7 linked regions of the Oryctolagus cuniculus genome follow. The protein of the gene in region 5 interacts with the protein of the main gene of each other region in a pairwise test. Links are inferred from orthologs where the notes say so. Each region holds a gene or a part of one and is shown on either strand. Other genes may lie near its edges.

The links.
Region 1: the proteins of SPG21 (region 5) and CCDC102B interact in binary tests that used the Homo sapiens proteins (3 or more experiments, as listed by UniProt). The two-hybrid records come from large-scale screens. The link is inferred for Oryctolagus cuniculus from reciprocal best matches to the Homo sapiens genes SPG21 and CCDC102B.
Region 2: the proteins of SPG21 (region 5) and S100B interact in binary tests that used the Homo sapiens proteins (3 or more experiments, as listed by UniProt). The two-hybrid records come from large-scale screens. The link is inferred for Oryctolagus cuniculus from reciprocal best matches to the Homo sapiens genes SPG21 and S100B.
Region 3: the proteins of SPG21 (region 5) and TFG interact in binary tests that used the Homo sapiens proteins (3 or more experiments, as listed by UniProt). The two-hybrid records come from large-scale screens. The link is inferred for Oryctolagus cuniculus from reciprocal best matches to the Homo sapiens genes SPG21 and TFG.
Region 4: the proteins of SPG21 (region 5) and CTPS2 interact in binary tests that used the Homo sapiens proteins (3 or more experiments, as listed by UniProt). The two-hybrid records come from large-scale screens. The link is inferred for Oryctolagus cuniculus from reciprocal best matches to the Homo sapiens genes SPG21 and CTPS2.
Region 6: the proteins of SPG21 (region 5) and TRIM54 interact in binary tests that used the Homo sapiens proteins (3 or more experiments, as listed by UniProt). The two-hybrid records come from large-scale screens. The link is inferred for Oryctolagus cuniculus from reciprocal best matches to the Homo sapiens genes SPG21 and TRIM54.
Region 7: the proteins of SPG21 (region 5) and ARL6IP1 interact in binary tests that used the Homo sapiens proteins (3 or more experiments, as listed by UniProt). The two-hybrid records come from large-scale screens. The link is inferred for Oryctolagus cuniculus from reciprocal best matches to the Homo sapiens genes SPG21 and ARL6IP1.

What each region holds. Positions count from the first base shown.
Region 1 is NC_091441.1:10,047,477-10,051,492, forward strand, and holds the start of CCDC102B (coiled-coil domain-containing protein 102B), read right to left. Parts: upstream 2,801-4,016; 5' UTR 2,681-2,800; coding exon 2,617-2,680; intron 948-2,616; coding exon 868-947; intron 1-867. UniProt on the Homo sapiens protein: During interphase, forms fibers at the proximal ends of centrioles to maintain centrosome cohesion. During mitosis, dissociates from the centrosome following phosphorylation to allow centrosome separation. Contributes to CROCC/rootletin filament formation.
Region 2 is NC_091435.1:236,259-240,229, reverse strand, and holds the start of S100B (protein S100-B), read right to left. Parts: upstream 2,801-3,971; 5' UTR 2,654-2,800; intron 1-2,653. UniProt on the Homo sapiens protein: Small zinc- and- and calcium-binding protein that is highly expressed in astrocytes and constitutes one of the most abundant soluble proteins in brain.
Region 3 is NC_091435.1:55,302,295-55,305,794, forward strand, and holds part of TFG (protein TFG), read left to right. Parts: intron 1-838; coding exon 839-979; intron 980-3,500. UniProt on the Homo sapiens protein: Plays a role in the normal dynamic function of the endoplasmic reticulum (ER) and its associated microtubules. Required for secretory cargo traffic from the endoplasmic reticulum to the Golgi apparatus.
Region 4 is NC_091453.1:2,941,364-2,945,428, forward strand, and holds the start of CTPS2 (CTP synthase 2), read right to left. Parts: upstream 2,801-4,065; 5' UTR 2,628-2,800; intron 1-2,627. Other genes in the region: TXLNG (gamma-taxilin), read left to right, coding at 2,971-3,072. UniProt on the Homo sapiens protein: Catalyzes the ATP-dependent amination of UTP to CTP with either L-glutamine or ammonia as the source of nitrogen. Constitutes the rate-limiting enzyme in the synthesis of cytosine nucleotides.
Region 5 is NC_091443.1:87,989,013-87,991,575, reverse strand, and holds the end of SPG21 (maspardin), read left to right. Parts: intron 1-312; coding exon 313-453; intron 454-1,378; coding exon 1,379-1,495; 3' UTR 1,496-2,063; downstream 2,064-2,563. UniProt on the Homo sapiens protein: May play a role as a negative regulatory factor in CD4-dependent T-cell activation.
Region 6 is NC_091433.1:175,678,324-175,681,823, forward strand, and holds part of TRIM54 (tripartite motif-containing protein 54), read right to left. Parts: coding exon 3,486-3,500; intron 678-3,485; coding exon 582-677; intron 47-581; coding exon 1-46. UniProt on the Homo sapiens protein: May bind and stabilize microtubules during myotubes formation.
Region 7 is NC_091450.1:20,962,133-20,966,346, forward strand, and holds the start of ARL6IP1 (ADP-ribosylation factor-like protein 6-interacting protein 1), read right to left. Parts: upstream 2,801-4,214; 5' UTR 2,647-2,800; coding exon 2,611-2,646; intron 682-2,610; coding exon 548-681; intron 78-547; coding exon 1-77. UniProt on the Homo sapiens protein: Positively regulates SLC1A1/EAAC1-mediated glutamate transport by increasing its affinity for glutamate in a PKC activity-dependent manner.

The sequences.
Region 1 (4,016 bases), on a different chromosome or scaffold from region 5:
TGGCCACAGCAGAGAGCTGACCTGGAAGAGGGGCAACTGGGACAGAATCTGGCGCCCCGACAGGGACTAGAACCCGGTGTGCCGGCACCGCAAGGCGGAGGATTAGCCTAGTGAGCCGCAGCGCCGGCCATATATAATTTTTAATAAAAGAAATTAACTGTTGGCTGTAAGATTTAGATTTTTTTTCTTAAGAAAAAAGATACTGGACTGTTGCTATCACTGAAAGTATAATATCCCTGTTCAGGAATCCTTTGACTACAGACATTGTCATTTCTCTATGCACTCTCAGTATGGTTTAGATTACGAAAGAGGCATATCATGTTGGGTAACCAACTAAGATTCCTTTCTGAGAAAATGTTAATAAATCTTCCAACAGCCCTTTGAAATTTCCTTTGGGTGGAAAATGATTCCCAGCTGAAAACACTTGAACTGTTTGATAATCTACAAATATTTTATCACCTCTTCAGGTGATGGATTATATTCAGAAATAGTTAATGTAAGGATAACTCTAAGGGCACAGAAATTATGCAAAGTTCAATTCTTCTATAAAAAGCTCTTAATGTGGTAGTGATATATTGAAAGATTGATTTCCAAGCATACATCTGGAGTCTATTTCTAAGGATTAGGGCAAGATGTCACACAATGTACATTTTTTAAATGCTACACGTTAGTAATAACATTAAAGTTCTACTCTGTGCTGTGGTTAGATGATTCACATGACATTGTAAATATTATGATTGAGTATCTGATATAACAGAGGAATCTTGGCATCTTAAGAAAGCACAACATCTTAGTCCATTTTGTGCTACTATAACAGAATGCTCTGGACTTCCAGTTTATCAAGAATTTATCAGAATTATTTCTTACCGTCTTGGAGGCTGGGAAGTCCAAGATCAAGGGACCCATATCTGCGAGGACCTTTTGATGCATCATCCCACGGCAGAAGGCTGCAGAGCAAGAGAACGTGAAAGTGAGAGGATAGCTCAGGATAACTCACTCACTCCTGTGAATACTTAATGACATTAATCACCTCGTTAGGCTTCTCTCTCCAACACTGTTGCATTGCAGATTAAGTCTGCAATACATGAACTCTGGGGACACATTCAAGTCATATCTATCCTTGCCCCCCAAAACTTATGTCCTTCTCACAATACAAAAATACATTCATTCTATTCCAATAACCCCAAGTCTTTTTCCAACATCAGAAGTCCAAAGTTCAAAATTTCATCTAAAATCAGATGAGACTTAAGCATGGATTATCCTGAGACAAATTCCTTTCCAACTGTGAACCTGTGAAACTAACAGGTATGCTTCCAAAATACAATGATAGAAGAACATAGGATAGAAACTTCTGTTCCAAAAAGAGAACTAGGAAAGAGCAAAGGAGTAGCCAATCTCAAGTAAGTTTAAATCTGAATAGGGTAAACATTAAGTCTCAAAGCAGGAGACCAAGCCACTTTGACCCCATGCAACACAACTGTGGACACTATGTCAGGATATTAGCCCTTGAGACCTCAAGCAAATCTGACCTTACGGCATGACAAGATTCAGTCTTCCCAATAGTTCGCCCAGGTTGGAAGTTCATGTCTTAAAGTTTTCCCAGGCTGAAGTGGCACCCTGTTGACCTTTGGTTCTAGAGTTTTTGGTGCTTCCCCGTTCTCAAGATCTACCACACATCTCCTTAGTGGGGACTCTGCAGCGACTCCTTCCTACAGTCCCATTGCACATTGCCCTAATGGAGGTGGTCTATGATGGCTCAAGCTCTGCGTCAAGTCTTGAGGGTAAGCATTCAGCTGATTTTGGCCTCTGCTGCTTGGTTTCTTATTCAGCTGCTAGTTAATGCACATCCTCAGAGGCAGAAGGTGATGGCTAAAGTACGTGAGTCTCTGCTACCCATAGGAGAGATCCTAATTGAGTTTTAGCTTCTAGCTTCTGCCAGCCCTGGCTGTTGCAGGCATCTGGGGATTGAACCAGCGTGCAGATATCTAAGTAAGAGGAGTATGAATATTTACTAGAAGTGTCCTCCTGGGATCCTAGAATGTCTGCAATGTCCTGTGAATTCTAGGTGGAGGCCACCATGGCTCCATGCCCTTATATTCCGTGCACTTGCAGAATTAATATCACATGAGCACCACTAAGGCTTATGGCCCTGCCAGACTGGCAGGTGTAGACACGCCTTGGCCCACTTGAGCTATGGCTGGGCAGCTGAATTTGGGGAATGAAATCCAAAGGTGCCTCAAGACAGTGAATGCTAAGTAGCCTCAGGTCCTTCTCTGGCAAACTTGCCTTCAAGTTCTGACCCTAGGCCTTGGTGGGAGGTGCCTCATGTCCCAACGCTGTTGCACTGTGGATAATTTTCCAACACATGAACTAACATCTCATGAAGAGTATGCCACTTTAGCTTGGAATCTCACAAAAATTAGGTTATGGTCAAGGCTATTAGAGGACAATGCAGCTTTGTTAGTCATAGATGAAGCGAGGAGGTGCAGCACAGGGGGAGGTAGGACAAAATAAGGTGTCCAACTTAGTGGACTTGGAAAAACTAAAACACCTCATGCTTCCTCCATGTGTCCTGGCTCTGCTAAGCACAGGGCGTAGTCAACAGGAAGAATGTACCTTTCCTGTGGTCAGGCTGGCTCCCGAAGAAGGAAACAGAAGGATGTGGCCTGCGTGAGCACATTTCGTTTCAGCTTCTCAGACTTCCAACATGGTCAGCACTTTCACTGCTCCCCCTTCCACTCTGGGGGATGACGGAGAAGGTAAAGAGGCCCAGTGTTTAGGGAAAGTCTTTCTTGCTGATTCTGTGAGCTGGGAATATGAGGTCTGCTCCAACGCTGCTCAGCTTTATCACTCTCCTAGCTCACTGGCCTAACCACACAGTCAATTAGGGCCATGACTCTTCTCTGAGAGGAAACAAAACCAGCTTCCAACTTCCAGCTTCAGCTTGCAACGCTGTACTGCACTGCACCTCAGTGACGATTCCTACTCCCCTGGCTACACCCTTGATGTCACTGGGCAAGAAACATCAGGTTCTTGCTGCTCTCTGCTGGACAGCCGACTCACCAGATGAGAACTGGGTTTCGTTCAAGCTGGCAGCCTTGAGGCAAGAGTGACCCCTGAATCCAAAACATGCTCTGTCTGCCCAAGCAGCCACCAAAAAGGGCTTTTAAAGGGAAGGAGGAGCTGCAGGTGGAGGTCAGAAGAAACAATGAGTGCAATCAACTGACAAGCATATTTGCAGGCTTTGTTCTGCTGATGGTCTGATGAGGAAAGCTGGGGCACTAGCCAGCTGGAAGGTTCTTGTGAATGCAGCTCAACTGTTTGCACTTGATGGCCGCATGCTTTCTCCTTAGCTGGGTGTGAGGTCTGCCTTTCCATCTCCTTTCAGTGGGCTCTGAAGTTCTTATGCAGACATTATTATTCTAAGACACAGGCACTTCATAATATCAGTAGGTTTGTTTTGTTTTTCTTTTTAAATAGGAAAATTGAAAGGAAAATATCTTCATTACTGTTACATTAATACTGTGCTCTGCTTACCACTGCAGCATAAATCATATCTCAAAACACAGTAAGATACAACACTCATTTTTTTAAGGCTCACTGAATGAGCCAATGTGAAAGTCTTGTCTTTGCTCTACCACCTCTGAGGCCTTGATCAGAAGGACTCAATAGCTGGGGATGACTGGACAGCTGAGGAAAGATTTGGATGCTGTTTCATACACATTTCTTATGACTGAATGTAGGCGACTGAATCTGCGGGATGGGACCACACCTGGTGCCGTGGGCTAGAGCTCCGATGCATTGCTGCTTCATGTAGACTGTGGACTCCAGTGCACTTGGGTTGCTTACACAGCAACTCAAGGCTACAAAGCCAGCAGCCCAAGACAACCAGGAGGCAGCTACATGGCCTATCAAACTTAATCCAGATAGTTAGGCATGTCACTTCTGTTGCATTTGATGTTTTCATCAAGTCCCTGAAGGAAGCAAAATTCAAGGGGAACAGACATAAACTCTCA
Region 2 (3,971 bases), on a different chromosome or scaffold from region 5:
GGAAGATGGCCCAAATCCTTGGGCTCCTGCACCCACGTGGGAGACCCAGAAGAAGCGCCTGGCTCCTGGCTTTGGATGGGCAAAGCTCCAGCCATTTCGGCTGTTTGGGGAGTGAAACAGCGGGTGGCAAACATCTCTCTCTCTGCATCTGCTTCTCTATAAGTCTTTCAAATAAATCTTTTTTTTTTTTTTTTAGGAAAAAATGTTCTTTGTAACTTAGTATATAGTCATTGTTTTAAAAGAGTTTCTCTGCAGAAATCAAAGTAAGAAGCTTCCTACTTCTCTCACAACAGGTATCTCATACCATGGTTTGCAACAGAATATCTGGTCAATCATCGCTGTGTATCATATTTTGTAAGAATGGATTATCAGTTGGTTCACAAAACTGAGATGGTTAGGCAGAGAAATTTATCAAATGTTGGCCTTGAGTTCTAATCATTAAATAAGAACCTCAAAGACTGATGCTGTGGCCTAGTGAGTAAAGCTGCTGCCTGCGGTGCTGGCATCCCATATGGGCACTGGTTCGAGTCCCAGCTGCTCCACTTCTGATTCAGCTCTCTGCTATGGCCCAGGAAAGCAGTGGAAGATGGCCCAAGTGCTTGGGCCCCTGGACCCACATGGCAGACTGGGAAGAAGCTCCTGGCTCCCGGCTTCAGACTGGCCCAGTGGCCATTGTGACCATTTGGGGAGTGAACCAGCAGGTGGAAGATCTTTCTCTCTCTGCCTCTCCCTTTGTCCCTCTAACTCTGCCTTTCAAATAAATAAATAAATCTTTAAAAATAAAAACGAAGAACCTCTGCACTATCATAATTTAAAATGTTTTAAAATTACATGTTGTTAAAAATCATTCCCATCTTGCATATGTCATCTCTTAAAAATCAGTGTAAATGTTTTGCTCTTAAGTCCCTAACAATCTGATATATCACAGGTGGATAGAACCATTTATATACATTGAAATATTTACACTTCCTACTTTTTTAAAAAGATTTATTTATTTTATTTGAAAGTCAGAGTTACACAGAGAGAAGAGAGGCAGCGAGGCAGAGAGAAAGAGAGAGAGAGAGGTCTTCCATCTGATGATTCACTCCCCAATTGGCTGCAATGGCTGGAACTGCACCAATCTGAAGCCAGGAACCAGGAGCTTCTTCTGGGTCTCCCACATGGGTTCAGGGGCCCAAGGACCTGGGCCATCTTCCACTGCTTTCCCAGGCCACAGCAGAGAGCTGGATTGGAAATGGAGCAGCCAGTTCTGGAACCGACACCCATATGGGATGCCAGCGCTTCAGGCCAGGGCGTTAACCTGCTGTGCCCCTACTTCCTACATTTTTATTCTTTGCGCTCAAGTTTTCAATTGATAATCTATATTTTTTAAGGAATAAAATAATCTTTGCATCATACTGATGTTTCCTTCTCAAAGTCTGTGATAATTTGGGGAAGGGGTAATTAAATTATGTAAGTGTATGAGATTTTTTTAAAAAAGGGAAAACATAAAATAAATATTCCATATCTTAGGGAACTCCATAAGATGTATTTTTCTTGGAGCAGGTGTTTGGTTCAGCAGTTCAGACACTGCCTGGGACAGCTGCATCCCATACTGAGAGCCGGGGTGCAGTCCTGGGCCCACTTTCAGTTCCAGCTTCCTGCTCATGGCACACTGGGAGGCGGCAGCAGTGACTCCTGCACTTGCTTCCTGCCACACACATGGGAGAACCGGATCGAGTGCTGGGGTTCTGTGAGCATTTGGAGAGTGATCCAGCAGACAGAAGATCTACGTCTGTCTGTCTCTAGCTCACTCCCTCTAACTAAAATAAATGAATAAAGTACAGTTTTCTTCACAACCACATTACAAATTAACTTAAATTTTTTCCTGTTAAATCCTTCCTTTTGAGTTCAGAAATAGCTGATGGCTTATAGCATACCTTTTAAGAGAAATGGGAATAAGCATCTATTTTTTTCCTTGCTTAATTCTGTGAATGTTTTACATTAGTCTTTTTATATAAAAACAAAAGCACTTTTGGACCCTAACTCCTTAAAAAGGCACATTACACATAAGGTGAGTGTTCCTCTGATGCAGGTTTTCTCTCCACAAGAAACTGAAGACTTAGGGAAGTTAAAACCCACTTTCTTCGACCTAATCCATAATTTGTAAAGACTTCTCAGCTGTTGTGTGATTTCTGGGTGTTGTTCAGGGGTACTTGGGGACCCTGGCATTCAAAGTTGAAGGAAACTAGGAAACCAACCCAGGGCTGAGGGAGGAGGAACAGGAGGGGTGAAACACCTGTGACAGGCGGTGAGCCAGCATTAGGTTCTCCAGGATTCTCAGCCCCAGAGAAAGCGAAAGCTTCCTCTCCCAAGAGTTCGGGAAGAGTCAGTACTTGCAGTGCCTCTGGGGAAATGCCACTAGACCTGGGGTTTCTCTCAACTGTAGAAATCACAGCACAGGCACAAGCACTGCTGGCTTAGTGTTGAGGTAACCAAATGCCCACAGAGCTGAACAAGATCAACAGCAAAGTCAAGGTTAACACAGGTGATGCCACGGAAGCTCGAGAAATGCCGCCGTTATCTCAGAAGCCCAGAGTTCCCAGTCTTTGCAACTCTGCCACCCCCACCCCGATCCCCAAGAAATGAGCAGTTTTGTCCTGAGTGTCCTCACCTCCTCCCGGTCACCTCTTGCTGCAGGCGTCCTCTCTCGGCTGCGGCGTCCGAGTGGTGGCTGAGGCTCGCAGCCTCTTATCCCTTCCTTCCAGGGAGGACAGGGCGGAGGACTGTTGCAGTCCCACTGCAGCCGAGGCAGCCAATCAGGGCTGAGGGCGGAGGCGGCAGGGCAGCCAGGCCTGCACACAAGGCCGCATTGACCAAATGCTCCCCCCGCCCCCACCACACTTGCTGGGAAGCCAAGATCACACAGGGACTAAGGAAGAAAGAGGGCCTATGAGGCAGGAAGTGGGGAGTCAGCTTTTTGTGTTTAATTTTTTTTACATATTATATGAATATTGATGTTTCTCTAAAAGCGAGGTTGGGGGTAGGGAGAGGAGAGGGACATGGATTAATTGACTCAAACAAAGCAAATGTACAGCCAAGAAGGAGAGGCTTCGCGCACAGCTGAATGTAAGAGATGAAGTGGCCGTGGGCTGGTTTCCAATGAAGAGGCCAGCGAGCTGCTTCTGTCTGCCAGCCGCTCCTGGTCTGGCCTCTGGGGACATTAGTATGGCAGTGGTCAGCTCTGGGCCAAACGGCACCTCAGAAAAGCTGCGGGGCCCAGTGTCTGCAGGGACTCAGTGCGTGTTTGGGAAAGTCCTTGTTCAAGTCTCTTAGACAGAGAACATGCACCCGTGGAGCCCAGGCCTCCACCTGCACCCTAACTGAAAGGCCACCGACTGTCACGGCTGCACAGAATTTTGGAAACATCCTCTCCGAAGGCTGTTTTCAGAGGTGTAGAGAGAATGCCTCCCATAGAGGCCTCCACAAGCCATGGGAGAGTCACGTCCAGACTTCCTGCTGCCATCTTCACATGTGGAAACTGTGGGGAGCAACTGGGAGCAACTCAGACTAGACTAAGTTACTGGAATTAAGACTTATTCTATGCATCTGCTCTCCCACAATATGGCGCTGGGAGAGGAGCAAACAGCTTCTACCCAGCTGCCTCTCACCAACTTGACAAGCTGCAGGACCTGCTCCTGATTGGAGGAGAGCAGCGTACTCGGCGTGTGGGTAGCAGAGTTGGGATTGGTGGAAGAGGACTATAAAGGAGGAGAGAGACAACACGCACCAGGAACATCTATCTGAAGGAACATCTAAGGGGAACACCTGTGCAGCCCCCGAGAGAGCCGGCCGGCGGTGTGCCGCTCCCCTGCAGAAGTGGGGAATGTGGCCAGGGGGAACCGCCCTTCCACGGAGGTGGAAGGGACGGTAGCCAACCCGGGAAGAACCAGCAGCAAACCCGGGGAGGGCCGAGCAGACGAAAGAACAAC
Region 3 (3,500 bases), on a different chromosome or scaffold from region 5:
TCACCCTCCAATGGCCGCCGCTGCAGCCGGCGCACCGCGCTGATCCGATGGCAGGAGCCAGGATCCAGGTGCTTTTCCTGGTCTCCCATGGGGTGCAGGGCCCAAGCACCTGGGCCATCCTCCACTGCACTCCCTGGCCATAGCAGAGAGCTGGCCTGGAAGAGGGGCAACCGGGACAGAATCCAGCGCCCCGACCGGGACTAGAACCCGGTGTGCCGGCGCCGCAAGGTGGAGGATTAGCCTATTGAGCCACGGCGCCGGCCTTTCCTTTAATTTTTGAAGTAACCTCATATAAGGAACAAAGTAGAGGTGATAAACAAGCCAAAAATATTAGATTTCTTGTAGAAATAAGGAATAGGTCTGTTTAGCTGAAGGAGGTAACATGAGAATTATGAGAAGTGTTTGGATCCTTGAATCCTGAACTCTAGAGGACTGGACTTAATTTATGGGCAGGGGAGACTCATTGAAGAATGAAGTAATGTCTTTGGTTCATCTACAAAATAGCTGACATGAGGCTACAGAAACTGGTATTGCAGACATGGGTTTGATTTTTGTAGATAGAGGTTAGGATTTAGGAATATAGCACACTCTAGTTTATAGAGAAGGATTTCCAGTTGTAGATTTTGCTTCTTAAGACTGGAGCAAAAGAAAATATCAAGTACATGCAGTTAATGTAAAATGTTGCATTTATGGAGATATTCTATGATTATATGTAAATATATATATATTATATTATTATTTTATTTATTTATTTTGTCTCTCTTAACCAAACTTAGTAATTGAGCTTGCTGGGCAAAGACCTTAAATGGGGTACTAAACTGACTTCATGACTATCCAGGGCCACCAAGTGCTCCTGCAGAAGATCGATCAGGCACTCCTGACAGCATTGCTTCCTCCTCCTCAGCAGCTCACCCACCAGGAGTCCAGCCGCAGCAGCCACCGTACACAGGAGCTCAGACACAAGCAGGTCAGATTGAAGGTAAAATAGAGTTACACACGCAGAAATGTTTATCGGAGCATTGCTGGGTAGCAAACAGCTTACATATGCAGTTACACTGTGAACACAGCTGTGAAGAACTTCGATTTACTGAGTTGGCATGATTTGTTGTTAAAAAAGATATAATTTCTTTTTGATTATTGAAGAGAAAACAAAACAAAAATTATAAAACATTTATATGATATAATTATAGAATGGAAGATTAGGAAGGAAGCATACCAGTCACTATAGCTAGTAGTGACCTTGGTGAAGAAAGTGAAATTCAGAAGGGGGGCTTTACATTTTATTTTGCATAATATTTACATGTTACTGTATTTCCCTCTCTTGTCCCTTCAGCATCTCTGCATTATTTTTGTAATTTAAAAGGATGTTAAGAGTAGAAGTGTAAATGTCTTTAAGTATACTCTTTTTGGAAAGCCTTTTCATGTTTTTATCCAGTTAGCAAAATGACTTTAATAGAAAAAAAAGTAATATTTTTAAGCCAAATTGCTCTAAAATAGTGTATGTTGGATTAACAGGTTGAGGTCTCGGTTTTGATCACCTGTCACAATAAAATGTGAAAACTGGACTAAACCACTGGTTTTATAAGGATATTTTTAGTCCTGAATGAAATGTAACTCGGAAGCTCAGAATTTAAAACGAATGAAGGGGTCATTGTTGTGGTTGAAGAGGATTCAGAGGCCACAAGCCCAGAGTAGGCCCCTGAGGTCCCACACTGGAAACTGTGAGGCACTGCAGAGCATGGCAAATGTCAGTGCTGAATACTTACTTTAGGGTGCCTTCCAGATGCCAGAACACTATTTTGGTGAATTGCCCACGGACCCTTAAAAACACATGCCACTTCGAAACAGTGACCAGGTAGTGCTCCCAAGTATTTGTATAAGGGGTCAGGTGGTGGTATGGTAAGTTTTCAGCACCAGAAGCAAGTGATTGAGGTTATCAGTAACATTAAAAACCAAACCAAACCAAACCTAAAATGAATTGGCTGCTTTGCGAATAGAATCTTGTCCTGTGGTGATACTTTCAGAGCTGTTCTTTGAACAAATGCTAGTCATTAAACACTAGCAGGTGGCATTTTGCTTATAAATCAGTGCTCTGGGAAGAATTTTCAATTTTTTAACTAACTCAGTTACAGTCTTCCTCTGCACCAAAATGCAACTGTCGAAACTAGAACAACAAAGCGGAACTGTAGCAGGTGGGGATGAAACAGGGAAGCAAAAGCAGAGTTTGGATACGAGGAGAGTTTAATACTAACTCAGGTGAACTAAAACTGTTTAAAAACAGTACTGCTTTAATTCAGTTTATATTATTGTAGAATGCAGTTGGAAGGGTTACAAATAAGGTTGCAGTATCTCAGATTATGAGAGGTTGGTTTTAATTGAGTATTTTCAAATAGGTAAGAATTGTAAAATGAAGGTTTATATAATAAAAATTCTCTCCTGCCTCTTTTGCCAGAGGCATCAAATTAATACCATTTGATAGTCATTGAATTTGCATAGATGGCATCAATAGTTTGCCTTGCTACAACTGTTACTTTTAGGTTACATTAAAACATACAATATAAAAATTAGCTATGTGACATCAAAAGATTAATAGCTGATTTCATTCTAAATCAGGCTTCTGAAAGAGTTAAATGGGTACTATGTGTAGTTTAAAATTTTCTCTTAGCTACATTAGAGTTTTTAAAAAGTTAATTTTAATTAGGTTTTATTCAGCTCAACATATGTAGTACATCAACATGTAATCCCTGTTAAAAAGTTATTAAATTGCATTTGGCACTGTGTATTAGGAATCTGGATATGAGACTGATTTTGAAACAGTTCAAACACATTGCAGCACATTTCAGGTGCTCAGTAGCCACTTGATGTGAGACTAATGTATTGGATAGTACAGTTTAGGGATGTAGTAGTAATTTGTAGATTCCTTAAATGCATTGTAGGCTATTTTACTGAATACTTTTTGATGTATAAAGAGTACCTGACATCATTAGTTGCTTAGATTAACTGCTGGTTGTAATTTGAATAGAATTATAGACATAGAAATGTATTACTTATAATTGATTATATAGCAGTGTTTTACAGGATGTGATAATTCAAAATAAAACAATTTTGAGTTCTTAAATCCCATAAAAGGGACCTTGGAATTGTAAAGTTTTCCCTTCCAAGACTGTGGTCTTAATGTGTTGTTTAGTGGAAAGAATTAATAAAACATTGCTTTTACCTTGTGATAGAGATGTTCAGGGAAATGTGTCCTTAAGCAGTTTCATTGTTGTGTGAGTATCATATTATGTTCTTCTACAAACTTAGATGGCTATGATGTCGCTATGTGATACGTATAATCTTGGGAGACATTATTGTGTATACAGTCTGTTATTGACTGAAACATTATGTAATGCATGATTATTGGACATTGTTAAAAAAAACCAAAATGGACAATGTTACTGTTCTTCAGATAAAGCCAGCGCCATTCTTATTGGAAAAATGCATGTAGTTGGGTAGTTGCC
Region 4 (4,065 bases), on a different chromosome or scaffold from region 5:
ATCCTGGCTGAGATAAGCAAAGTGCTTTCCAAAGCCTTGGGCTAAGGCTTGACAGTAACCTCTCTGGAGGCCTGTAATATAACACTTTAATGAAAGAATGGGTCTATCAAAAAATCAGGATAGCCAGATCCAAGGAAGAAGAGAGTCATCCAAGACCCAGAGAGCCAGGCAGAAGCTATCCTTTCTCTCACTTTGCTTTGGAAGTTACTTTCCTGCATTCTTCTGCTTCTGCTATGCTGTATTTCTTAGAAACAAAATCTCTAAGTCTGGCTCATATTCAAGGCAAGGGGAATCGACTCCATCTTTTCAAAGGAAGAGCATCAAAGACCTTGTGAATGGATTTTAAGAGCAACAGAACCTATGTTAAAGAAATTATAAGAGGGGCCAGCACTGTGGTGCAGCAGGTAAAGCCGCCGCCTGCAGTGCCAGCATCCCATATGGGCGCTGGTTCGAGACCTGGCTGCTCCACTTCTGACCCAGCTCTCTGCTATGGCCTGGGAAAGCAGTGGAAGATGGCCCAAGGACTTGGGCCCCTAAACCTGCATGGGGGACCCAGAAGAAGACCTGGCTCCTGGCTTCGGATCGGCATAGCTCCAGCCGATGAGGCCATCTGGGGAGCGAACCAGTGGATGCAAGACCTCTCTCTCTCTCTCTCTCTTTCTCTTTCTGTATGTGTGTGTGTGTGTGTGTGTGTAACTCTTTCAAGTAAATAAATAAATCTTAAAAAAAAAAGAAACCATCTGGGAGACCCAGATGGAGTTCTCAACTCCTGCTTTTGAGAAAAAGAAATTATAAGAGCAACTAGTTTTTGTTTTGTGATGTTTTGAATCAATCGGTAAATTGTGCTTTTTCCTATTTTCTCAGCTGTCAAGAAGCTCAGAATAAAAATTTGGTTCACCTCCAGCTTGTGTACAATCCTTAAGATATGTATATAATAAATTCAACTTATCATGACACCATCTTGTTTTCCTATCTTTTCACTTCATTCTCATTCCTTGGTATGTGCACGCATGTGAACATGCTTGTGTATACACACATATGCATATATCACGTGGTATTTATATATTAATATATGAGTAGCTATATGTTAGGTCACTTGTATATTTCATTTTCTTTTTTCCCTTTTTTAACAAAAACTTTTTATTAATATAGAGAACAGATTTCATGTATTTCATAGAAACAATTCTAAGCAGATAAGCATATTTCCCTCCCTCTCTCTTTCAATTCCTCCTTCCTGTCTTCCTTTCTTTTTTCCTTTAATTCTTGAAATAACATACTTTCAGTTTACTTTAAAATCACAGGCTTAATATACCACTAACCATCATGTTCAACAAGTAAAATGTAGAAAGATCACTGTTCCATGGGAATATAGACAAGGGATATAAAAATAATTTCTTGGTGAACATAACTATTCATTTTTTGTTCCATACATACTTAAAGACTGCCTAAACTCATGAAGTGAAAATAGTTGCCATCTCACCACCCAGAGAAAACACTATTAACATTTTGATGAATACTCTTCTAAACATCTATTAACATAGTCTCAGGTAATTTTACTAAAAGAAATCTTTTTCTCTAGATCAATTAAAAAGTGCTTATCATTTTAGTAGTTGTATGGTATTCTATTGTACCATCATTTAACTATTGTACATTTGGTCACTCAATTCCCTGGAGAAATGCATTATGATAGATTCCTTCTGCATCTTGCTGGGGCTTATGTCTTTAAGAAGATGAGACAAAGTGACTGAGACCATCAGCTTTATAGAGTCTGGTGTATGGCCACCTGCCTCAAAGCTGTACTGAGGTATTCTGCTCGTAAAGCAGATGAATGGTAATTTTTCCAAATTTATAAATGTAATTAAAATTAATGGATGGAATTTCCCCAATGTTGAAATTTGCTCTCATATGTTATCAATTTTTTGGTGCCTGCTACCACTGTTTTGTATTCAATTGTTATAAAAAATGGCGCAGAATTTGCACGTTGATGAAGAGTTATTTAAGACAATTCTCATATGTTAGGATTTCATAATGGTGTGTAACTTTCAGAGGCTCTGCCATTAGAGATTTACTCCCATCATATGGAAACAGTAAATATTTCCGAGGAAAACTCTTCTCCTTCCCAATCATATCAAGAAAAAAAAAAAACTGATTCAGCAAACCGAGTCTGTAGAAAAACTGAAGTAATGAAATGACTGGCAGAGAGGAGGATACAATCAACATGAATTAGGGTCCAGCTAAGTGCAAAGAACTGTGCGAGAAGTCCTGGGCTGAAGGCTCAGCCAAGGTGAATAGGAGGCAGCCCCATTCTGTAGGAGGGGGAGACAGAGAAGCCTTAGTAACTGGTGGAAGGGCAGCACTCCAAGCCCCAAACCTCAAATTCTGATCTTTTACAGTTCCCGCCATGAACATAGCGAAGTATCTTTCCTTATCAGCAAACCATTCGCACTCAATTTCAGAAAACAGCAACAAAAACAAAAACACAACAAAGCGTCCCTGGCCCCGCTCCTTCTCAAGTATTGGACTATATTAAAAGTTTCCCTGAAGGATAATGTGTACCTTCCGGGACCGGGACATCGCCCGCAGAAACTACAAGACCCATTAGGCTGCACACGCAGCACAGCACTTACTCTCCCATTCTCAGGACGCCGTATTACGCTTCAGTGCCGTTGAGGGTCTGCGAGTCGTGGCTGCGCTGCCTGCTGGGATTTGTAGTACGTTTCCGAGTCCTTTTTCGGGTCCGCGCAGACTCTCATGGCCTCTGTCTGCCCTTCGGCCCTCGCAGAAGCCCAGCCCAGAATTCAATGCTCCCCACCCCCATCTCGCTTCATCCCCTCAGGGGCCAACCTCCTCCGGTCACGTGGGAAGATTAACATACGGCGATAGGCCGGGAGGGTTTGAGGGCGGGGCGCAAGGCCCTGAGAGGTTCCGTGCCTCTCGTCGGGCCGCTTGTTTGGCTGCTGCCGTCACCTCATGGCGACGCGGGTAGAGGAGGCAGCGCGGGGAAGAGGCGGCGGCGCCGAGGAGGCTATTGAGGCCAGCCGGGGTGGACGGCGACGCGGCCCGCGACAGAAGGTCAGTCGGGGGGACGCCCTCGTTGCTGGACCGAGGGCATGCTCGGGCTATCCTTTTCGGGATCCACCTCCTCACTCTCTCCGGTTTACCTTTAGCCATGGGACGAACATCCGGCCCTTTTCCCTCCCGGGGTTGACGACAGTGGGAGCAGGTGCGGGGGAGGTGGGACCAGGATGGATAGGGGGGAAGGAACGACGGTAAAGATTCAGGGGTGTGACGCGGAGGGGGGAAGGGCAGGGGCGCACCCGAGTGTGAGGGGTACGGAGTGCCAGGCAGGGGCGCGCCAGGTGTGACAGCCACGTGCGGGAGGCACTGTTGGGCCCCGGGCGCCAGGTGTTCACTCAGCCCCTTTCGTCACCGTGCTCCCGGCGCCGGGCGCTGCCGTCTTGGGGCTCAATGGGATCACGGCTCACCCTGCTTGGACCCGGCAGGTGCGCAAGGCGCGTTGCGGGATGTACGCGGGCAGCTCTGGTGAGGCTGTTGCGCAGTAAGATAACCGCGCGGGAGCCGGGGCTGCGCTTCGTCCTCCTTCCCCCGCCCTCTGCGCTCCCCGCAACTGCGCGGACAGCGGGCCGGTGAGCACCGTGGGGCCTGGGGGTCACTAAGCTGCCGGGACCCAAGCGCTGGGGCTCGTCTGCGTGCCACAGGCCTGGATGCACGTGGAGCCGGAGATGGAGAGGCGATGCCAGGGGACCTTGGTCCCGCAGACTTGGGAGCAGTGTTGCCTGATAGCTGTCCTCCCAGCCCTGCTGTCCTCCTCCCCACCACCCCTTCTTTCTTTCTTTTCTTCTTCTTCTTTTTTTTTTTTTTTTTTCATTTGGTGAACGGAAACTTGAGCGCCTCCCTGACCCTGGCCTTGGCTGGACCGTTCCCCTTGCCTTACTTGACTCACGTCAAGGAGTTTTCAGTGTCTCCCTGGATACAGGAGAAATCGAGACCTTTTTCAGAATGGGAGAATTCCACTTGTTGCGCTCAGTGGGTGGAGTTTGAAAA
Region 5 (2,563 bases):
TAAACATGTACAGTTTTAAGAAATGCTGACTGTTCACTATTAATGTTGTTAATTTAATTAAGTACAGCTGAGGGCAAAGGAAATTCACAGTGGAAGCCCCCCACACCCCCAAAGAATGCGAGAGACGGTTGGCTGCAGTCAGTAGCTAATGTCTCAGATGGGAGTGAGAAATGAACAGGGCTCAGCACTGGGAGGCGGCTCGGGCTCAGCACTGGCTCCTCGTTAGCATGAGGACTTGGGGTGGCACTTTCCACAATGCGAGAAGAGCACATTAAAATGCCAGCAAGTTTCAGCCTCGTGTTTCTGTTAAAGGTGTTTGATCAGAGTGCACTTTCAACCGAAGCGAAGGAGGAAATGTACAAACTGTATCCCAACGCCCGGAGAGCTCACCTTAAAACAGGAGGCAATTTCCCATACCTGTGCAGAAGTGCAGAGGTGAACCTTTATGTACAGGTGAGTCCCAGCTGCGAGCACTTCGGGCCCAAAACGTGTGGTTTGCAACATGAAGCTTTATTTGTGCTGTTTTTGGGGGTGGGGTGGAGTAAGATAATTACAGAGTTCTCTGTAGCAATGAGGCATTGATTTCATACATGTGAGGGGCGTACACAATTTAGAGAACTCAGTCGGGTGCATTAGAGGCCCTTCTGTGACTCCGCCCATTATCCCTTTTCTAGAACAACAGGCCCACAGCCTCGAGTGGAGGTAGTCATTGCTAGGCTACGACCTTGCCTCCTGGGCAAGGTCAGTCAGAGCCGGACACCAGACCCAAATGGGGTCAGTCTGAATCCATGAAGCAGCGCCTTCTTGACCTGACATTAACGCATAAACCCCGCCCCCTACACACGCCGACACGCGCACACACACATGAAGACATTTCAGTCAACGATGGGCCAGACCGCCTGTCCCGCGGTGGTCGCATCACCTGGTGTGAGTTCACACAAAGCGAGCTTGTCTGCTGGTGCTTCTCAGAACGTATCCCGTCGGTGCGGGGCACGTGATTCTATGCGAATAGCAGTTTGGCAGGAAGTAGCAAAAGCAGTCACGTACTTTGAACAAGTCATCCCCTTGTGGAAACAGATCCTCAGGAGAGGATCCTAAACACGGGGAAACGTGTCGGGCGGAGATCTTCATCACGGCAGGAAGACTGGAAGGACCCAGCTCCCAGCACAGGTGGGAGGGGCAGGAGCGTGCGAGGTGCAGCACGGGCGAAACAGTGGCAGTAGAGATCGCGCATACAAACTCTCCGCCCCCGCTGCTCCCCAGTTCTTCTGTAGTTAGCGTGTGTGTAAGGGTCGCTTTCCTCCCGAGCTTCCCGTGGGAGGCCGCGCGCGTGTCGTCCCGTCAGCAGCCACTGAATCCGCCACGCTCCTCCCTACAGATACACTTGCTGCAGTTCCACGGAACCAAGTACGCGGCCATCGACCCGTCCATGGTCAGTGCCGAGGAGCTCGAGGTGCAGAAGGGCAACCTCAGCCTCAGCCAGGAGGAGCAGTAGCTGCGGCTCCCGCCGTGGGTGCCGAGGCGACCCGACGTGTCCTTGTGCGGTCGGCGACCCGGCCTCCCGGCGCGGCAGGCTCGCCGGTCCTCCGTGCGTCTGGGAAGCAGGACTGATCACATCCGGTGAAGCCCGCGCAGCGGTCCCCTCTTTGGTTTTTAGCTTCGGAGTCCAGGAAGTTCTTTGCAAGACGCCCTTTTAAGGGTTGTGAGAACTGTGCTACCGGAAGTCCTCACCACTGTGTTCTTGAGCGAATGTCGATTTCTGAGGCTTGGGATTTTGTGAACTCTTCTCTCCTTTCTTTTCCTTTTCTTTCTCCCTCCTTTCTTCTTCCTGCTTTTTATGTTATTTTCTGTAAGTGCCGCACGTGCCGACTGTGTGTCAGAAGGACGTTGGCTGCCGTTAGGCCTTCCTGGGTGTGACCGCGTCCGAGGGCCAGGGCTGGCACCCCACTGGGTGCGCTCCTGTGACCCAGCTGCTTTCACTTTCCAGCTCAGCACATGTTCCGAGTGCCCGCTCTTGTCTTTCTAGATGATTACAGTCATTTGGAATAAAAATTCGATTTCAATGAGTGTCTTGTAATCATTGTCACTGCCCAGGCAGGACTTTGGAGAAACGGTGCTGTGTGGCTTTGGGAGGTCACTCCGTACCCCTAAAGCAGTGTGCTCAGCACAGAACAACAGTAGCTGTTGGGCACGGAGCCACTGCTGCGTGCCAGGGACTTCCGTCAGTCTGTCTTTGCCCTGAATAGAAGTTGTCCACACACCTCACAGAGGATGGTGGACTGGGCCTGTCCTGTCACTCCTGGGCAGCTCTGTTTCTTCTCCAAGCAGACCCCCAGGACTCCCCCACGGCCTCCCAGCCTGGATTATCTCGAGCGCATTTCTGATGGGACATCCGTCTGTGAGTGTTTGCGCATGTGCTCTGAGGAGGGAGAGCAGCAGGAATGGCACTGGCACACGTCACGGGTGCCCAGGACCTCGTCCATTTCCTCTCACGTCTATCAGTGCCCCCTCCCCATTACCCGTCGCTGGGTTCTCAGAGCTGACTTGTCCTAGTCGTGCGCCG
Region 6 (3,500 bases), on a different chromosome or scaffold from region 5:
TCTCGAACCTCTGGTTTAACAACTGCTTCTGCCTCCGGCTGTTGTCCTAGACCATCCAAGGGAGAGAAGAAGGGCGCTGCTGAAACCCTGTGGCTGGGAGAGCAGGGATGCTGGTCCTGCTTCTCAGTGTGACTCAGAGAGGCAAGAAAGCAAGGTGCACGTGGTTCTGGGCGAGTTCATGGCAGAACCGGAATCCGCCCTGCCAATCTTTCCAGAAACAACAGTGGATACTTTAAAGCAATGCCGTCACCAGGGGCTCTCTGTATCTTTGGCCCTGGGCTTCCCTTGTATGGATCCATTAAATTCTCAGAAAGACCCACTGATCCGGCCACTATATCATGATCATCATCATCACCAACACCACCAAAGCATGGAGAAGTTAAATAACTGAACCAAAGTCACAGAGCTACTGAGCAGCAGAGCTGGGAGTCGGACCTGGCTGAGCATATGCTAACATTTTTAGGAGGCCAGAAATGTTTTGGCCGTGTGAGCCAGAGATCAGAGAGGAGCAGTTCCCTTGGGAGCCTGCACTGTCCACGTCAGCCCACGTGTTCCCTCGCCCCCGCCCAGCCCAGGCTCACCTCGATGGTCCGGCACACTTCTTCCATCTGTGTGATCACTGCTTGCACGCGGTCGTTGCCTGCCACCAGCATCGCGATGCCGTCACTGAGCTCACTCTGCCGCACACACAGGCCAGCTTAGGGCTGGAGGAGCTGGCCCACAGCTGCTCCCCTCCCTCCCCAGCTGGGGCTGCAAGGGCGAGATGTGCTCCCTCCCCCACCCCTCCATCAGTGCATCTACAGAGATCTAGAAGGTTTGGAGCCATCCAGGAAGTGGGGAAGCACACTCTCTGGTTTCTGGAAGGAGACACAAGCCTTCCATCGCCAAAGGAACTGACATTCTCCAAACACCCTCCAAAGGCCAGCCACTGCGCTAGATGCTTTATCTGTAGATTCGTGTCTTCCATCAGTTCTGCAGCATTCCTAGTGGCTGTCATTCAGATAATATTGCTTCTTCTCCAGGCTCTGTTCTCTCATTCTGGGAGTCTGATCAGCCCGTTAGACATTCCTTTTTTTTTTTTTTTAATTTATTTGACAGGTAGAGTTATAGACAGTGAGAGAGAGACAGAGAGAAAGGTCTTCCTTCCATTGGTTCACTCCCCAAATGGCTGCTACAGCCAGCGCCACACCAATCCGAAGCCAGGAGCCAGGTGCTTCCTCCTGGTCTCCCATGCAGGTGCAGAGCCCAAGCACTTGGGCCATCCTCCACTGCCCTTCCGGGCCACAGCAGAGAGCTGGACTGGAAGAGGAGCAACCAGGACTAGAACCCAGCACCCATATGGGAGCTGGTGCCACAGGAGCTGGAGCCACGACACCGCGCCCCCCCCCCCCGTTAGACATTCTCATTCTCAACCTCTCATCCCCCAGGGCTGCATCCTGTTCTCAGTCCTCTTGTTCTATTCACTAATTACCTCTTCAGAGAAATCTGTCGTTTAATTAACTCCCTGAATGTTCTATTCCAACAATTAAGTTTATATTTCTTTTTTTTTTTTTTTTTGACAGGCAGAGTGGACAGTGAGAGAGAGAGACAGAGAGAAAGGTCCTCCCTTGCCGTTGGTTCACCCTCCAATGGCCGCCGCGGCCGGCGCGCTGCGGCCGGCGCACCGCGCTGATCCGATGGCAGGAGCCAGGAGCCAGGTGCTTTTCCTGGTCTCCCATGGGGTGCAGGACCCAAGCACTTGGGCCATCCTCCACTGCACTCCCGGGCCACAGCAGAGAGCTGGCCTGGAAGAGGGGCAACCGGGACAGAATCCGGCGCCCCGACCGGGACTAGAACCCGGTGTGCCGGCGCCGCAAGGCGGAGGATTAGCCTAGTGAGCCGCGGCGCCGGCCATATATTTCTTTTTTAAAAAATATTTTTTATGTATTTACTTGAGAGGTAGAGTTACAGACAAAGAGAGGGAGAGACAGAGAGAGAGGTCTTCCATCTGCTGGTCACTCCCCAGGTGGCTGCAACAGCTGCAGCTGAGCTGATCTGCAGCCAGGAATCTGGAGCATTTTCCCAGGTCTCCCATGTGGGTGCAGGGGCCCAAGGACCTGGGCCATCTTCCACTGCTTTCCCAGGCCACAGCAGAGAGCTGGATCAGAAGAGGAGCAGCCGGGAGTCCAACCAGTGCCCATATGAGATGCTGGTGCTGCAGGTGGAGGTTCAGCCCACTACGCCACAGTATTGGCCCCATGTTTCTATTTCTAAAAGCTTTATTTGATTCTTTGTCAAAAATGCATGATCAGAAGCCAGTGTTGTGGCATGGCAGGTAAAGCTGCCACCTGTGACGCTGGCACCCCACATAGGTGCTGGTTCAAGTCCCGGCTGCTCCACTTCCAATCCAGCTCTCTGCTGTGGCCTGGGAAAGCAATAGAAGATGGCCCAAGTCCTTGGGCCCCTGCACCCTGGTGGGAAGATCTGGAAGAAGCTCCTGGCTTCAGATCAAGCAACTCCAGCTATTGCAGCCTGCTGGGGGAGTGAAGCAGTGGATGGAAGACCTTTCTCTCTCTCTGCCTCTCCTTCTCTCTCTGTGTAGCTGACTTATAAATAAATCTTTAAAAAAATAAAGAAAGAAAGAAAGAAAGAAAGAAAGAAAAAAAGATGGCCCAGGTGCTTGGGCCCCTTCCTCCATGTCGGAGGCTCCTGGCTTTAGCCTGGCCCAGTAGGGTCTGTTGTAGCCATCTGGGGAGTGAATCAGTGGATGGAGGATATCTCTTTATGCTTTTTTAAAAGACTTATTTATTTGAAAGGCAGAGTTACGGGGTGGGAGGGGGGAAGAGAGAAATCTTCCATTTGCTGGTTCACTCCCCAAATCGCTGCAACAGCTGGAACTGAGCCAGGCCAAAGCCCGGAGCCAGAAGCTTCATCCGGGTCTCTCATGTGGGTGCAGGGGCCCAAGCACTTGGGCTGTATTCAGCTGCTTTTCCAGGCACATTATCAGGGAGCTGGATCCGAAGTGGAGCAGCCAGGACTCAAATTGGTGCCCATATGGGATGCTGACATTGTAGGTAGTGGCTTAACCTGCTGCACCACAATGTTGATCCTGATCTTGACTTAAAACCAAGCGATGGGGCAGATTTTTGGCACAGCAAAGATGCCGCATGGGATGCCCACATCCCATATTGGAGTGCCTGGGTTCCATTTCCATCTCTGCTTCCAATTCCAGCTTCCTGCTGGTGCATTCCTGGGAGGCAGCAGGTGACAAACCAAGTATTTGGGTCCCCGCCACCCACGTGAGAGATCTCAATTGAATTCTGGGCTCCTGACTTCAGCCTGGCCCAACCCTGGCCATTGCAGGCATTTGGAGAGTGAACCAGAAGATGGGTGATCCATGTTTGTTTCTTGGCTTTGGCAATGAAACTAAAATAAATAAAACCAAGCGGAATAAGAGGCCGACCCAGTCCTGGTCCCCAACCCTCTACTCCCTCCCTGCTGGATACCTTTTGGCGTTTGTA
Region 7 (4,214 bases), on a different chromosome or scaffold from region 5:
GGTAGTCAGCCAAGCACAAAAACATAACAAAGCAGGAAACACCGGACAGAACAGATGGGTCCAGATAGTAGATAATCCTGTTAAAAAAAATTAAAGAAGCTTAGAAAACAGCCAGTATTATGCCTGGCTGCAGATGCTTAATTTCACAATTCACTCAGTGCCGTGGTTCTCAGAGACGTTATTTGGCACTAATTTCCTCACCAGTGGTTTCCAGAGGCTTCATAGCATGATGACGTCACAGCCGCAGTGGCTGATATAAATACCAACCTACAAAGGCTTTCGGAAACCCCCAGTACTTTTTAAGATTGTAATGGTAAGATGGTAATGGTTTTGAGCCAAAAGGCTTGAGAGTCACCGAGTTATTCAACTGCGTCAAGTTACCAAGCTTACATAAGTACTACCAACTGTGGAAACCCAGCACGGCTTGTAAGAAAAGGCATTCTTGATGGATTACAGGCTACAAAAGGCTTCATTAAGGTGCTGCCCTGAACAGAGCCTTCAGCGCTACCAAGCGCACGCAGCCCATGGAGTCCCCCGGCTCACTTACAGAAACACCAGGGAGACCACAGCCAGGAGGGCAGGCGGGAACCAGGCTCTCTCCCACCGCAGCACTTTGTCGGCCAGAAGCATCACCTCTCCCCAGCCCTGCAGCTGCTCCTCCAGACTCGCCGTCTCTGCAGCCTACACGGGGCAGAAGGGAAAGCGGCCATTTCATCACTCAGCATCTCCGTGGTTCTAACAGTTACATCTTCCCAAGGCCAATCAATAGGTGAAACACCTCCTCATTCCAATCTTCAACAGTTTCCTTTCTGAGGAACTCTGCAATTTTGTACCAAAGATGGGAATCAACCAGGGGGCTAGGGGAAGCCTCTCCTTGTTTTTTTTTTTTTTTTTAAGATTTTATTTGAAAGAGTTACAGAGAGAGGTAGAGACAGAGAGAAAGAGAGAGGTCTTCCATCCCCTGGGTCACCCTCCAGATGGCTGCAACTGCTGGAGTTGCACTGATCCAAAGCCTAGGAGCTCCCTCCCCATCTCCTACGCGGGTGCAGGGCCCCAAGGACTCGGGCCATCTTCTCCTGGGCAGAGCCCACCCTGTAGTGAATCCAAGCACGGGGCGACTCCTCACATACATGATGGAGCTCAACCCTTACAGAGCTGGCAATGTAGGGATGCGACTCATTTCACAGTGAAAGCAAGTGGGCTCCAAACCTTCCCAGGCGTGGACAGGCAATCAGTGGCAGCACCCAGAGTGCTAATCAGATTAGACCACTCCAGGTTTGTTCATTTCAGGTGGTGGGAACTGGCCCGCAGCTCACTCACTTCATCCATCTCAATCCTACTCTCAATCCATTAGGAAAGCCTTCCCCTGAGCCGCACTCACCTTCTAAAACGGCTCTGTGTAACGGGAGCACTGAGATAGTGGGCTCCATTGCAAAATTAAGGAAAACAGCTTTCCAAATTACAAGTGCCATTCTACAGCGCTTCCTGTCGCTCGGGGTAGACTTCCAGTGTTCCTGCAGCCCTGACATCCCAAAGTGGGCCTTGAAGACGAGCTCAGGCCACAAACTCCCTGAAGCTCATCTTGGTAAAGGAGAAAACACTGGAACAGGAAACCCCAACGTCCCTGTGAGTACTTCCCCTTAGAACTAGGTGTCCTGGCTTTATCGCTCACGCTTACGACTAGTTAAATCAGAGATCACATGTGCCAAGAACCTTAAACTTCGCCTGATCCTCTCAATCGCCCTAGAAAGAAGGGGTTGTTGCCATCCCCGTTTCGCTGATAAGGAAACTGAGACGCAAAGGAGTTGACAGCGTCGGCCCCGGGAAGTCAAAGGCCTTGCTGTCCCTGCAGTCGGGCTGCTCTGCTGGGGACCCCAGGCTCCAGGTGAGACTCGGCTATTGCAACAGGACTTGGACAGCCTCGCTGTGCTTGCACCGATTCTCTTAGAAAGCAGCAGCGCAAAGCAAAAAACCACGCCCAATGCAAGCCGCCCTTCTGAGTTCGCCAACATCTGGGACCTTGGAACGCTCTCTCGGGTCCTGCCTGGACCGGTGCAGTTAAATCCGAATCCAATACGTCCACCCAAGGCAGGGCCTCGCTGCAGCTCCCCCGGATCCTCTCCAGCCGTCCTGTGAGCTCCCAGCCCCCGGCCTTCCCAACTCCAGGCCCAGGCCCGGTTCCCCATGGGGAGCTCGCAGCCTCCCTGTCCTTGTAAGCTGCGCCAGCTCCAACAGAAATCCTCGGCCGTGGCCCTGGGACCCTCCATCCCCGCTCAAGTCTTAGACGGAGGAGGACGAGCGCTCGCCCAGGGTGAGATCCAAGGCGGACAGGACCGCGGCGAGGCCCGAAAGCCACCGCGCGGCCCCTCGCAGCCCCCGTCCCGCACTCCTCAACCCCCACTCGCAGTGACTAATCACGCGCCCTCCTCGCCCCGCCGCGCACCGCCCACCGGGAGCCGCCCACGAACCCCGAAGGGACGGGGGTCTCCCGGGCTGGGCCGAGGAGGGACGGGCCCGTGGCGGGGACAGGAGCGAGGCCGCGACGACCGTCCCCGCCGAGCCCACCGGCCGGCCCAGCTCGGTTCCTGCGGGCAGGCCTCCGGGACTCACCAGCAGATTGGTGCTGCGATTATCTCCCTCCGCCATCGTCCGTCAAGAGTCGTCTCAGCGAACCCGAGCCGCCTCTCCAACCTCAACCTCCGCTGGAAACCCGCACAGTGAACACAGCGCGAGGGAACGCCCCGCAGGTCGCTTATATAGGCCGGCCGCCTTTCCCGACAGCACCCGCGACGCTCGCTCCTCATTGGGTGAATCGAGCGCAGGTTTCAGGAAAGCCCCACCAACCACAGCTCAGCGCATGACTTGAAATCGAGGTCAAAGGAGAGAGGGGCCGCGCCGGGCAGAGGGGGCGGGGAAACGGAATAACCAATGGGCGCCCAGGGATTGTGCGGCGCCCCGCCCAGGGCTCGCGGAAGCGGTTCAACTGTCGCTGCCGGCGGCGGAGGTTTGGTTGGCCGAGAGTGGACGCCACCGTAGCCGCGGGACCCTCCCGGCGTTGGCTCCGCTCAGCGCCTAAGGAACCCCTCTGGAAAACTGAGTAGTCGTAGAGGTGTGCGGTGTCAGGCGGAGGGCAGAGATGGGCACGCGGCGCGGGACAGTGGCTGGGGCGGGCCGACCGCGAGTCCGTCTCCCAGCGCCGCGGTCCCTCGCCGTCCCCGGCCTGTGAGCGGCTTAACCCAGATTTGTGACTCGTGCCCACCTCGTGAGGTTCTGAGAACCAGTGAATGGAGCTGTTGATGTGGCTTCTGCCGCAGCGTATTCAGGAATGAGGTCTTTGGGTGGGGGTGGGTGTCAAAGTGAGAGAGAAATCCTTCATGGGGCATTTTTTTTTTTTTTAATTTATTTATTCGAGAGGCAGGCAGAGTGAGAGAGGCCTTCCATTCTCCGGTTCACTCCCCAAGTGGCCCCAACGGGTAGGGGGGCTCAGAGCCAGGAGCTTCCTCCGGGGCTCCCATGCAGGTGCAGGGGCCCAAGGACTCGGGCCATCTTCCATTGCTTTCCCAGGCCACAGCAGAGAGCTGGAACTGGTGACCCAATGGGATGCTGGCACTGCAGGCGGCGGCTTTACCCGCTAAGCCACAGCGCCGGGCCCCTTGGTTTAAACTACAAACTCCCCCTGTACCAAGTGATTAATAGCGCCTTCCTTCCATTAGAGAGAGCTGGATGAACTCTGTTGAGATCCTTCTCCATCTTTTCCATCTTGGACTTCAAAATGCGTTAGCAAGCTCTTGTCTGAATCACGCCAAATGTTGGCCTAGACAGAGGTTCGTCTCAGGGAAAGTACTGTACGCTTTATCCTTATAAACCCATGTGTATTAATGCCACCGACTTTATCCTGAAAGCACTCTTCAAATAACAACCAGGTTCTGAAAAGTTCAGGGAAGTCAAAGAAAAGCCCTGAGCAAACTGGACCAACCAGGAGCCTTGTGAACTTAGCGGAAGTGTCAAATCTGACCGCGATCTTTGGGGGCGGGGCGATCACCTGGCCTCCCCAACGTTAGAGGTCTCTGCTATGGGGGACGCTGCAGGAAAGTTCAGGTTGTATAGGTAACGTACAGTCAATAAAGACCTCGTTTGTTTTACATTGAGAGCTGCAGCTCCCATCCACTGGTTCCTTTGCCAAATGGGGCTGGGAAAACCTGACAGGAGTGGAG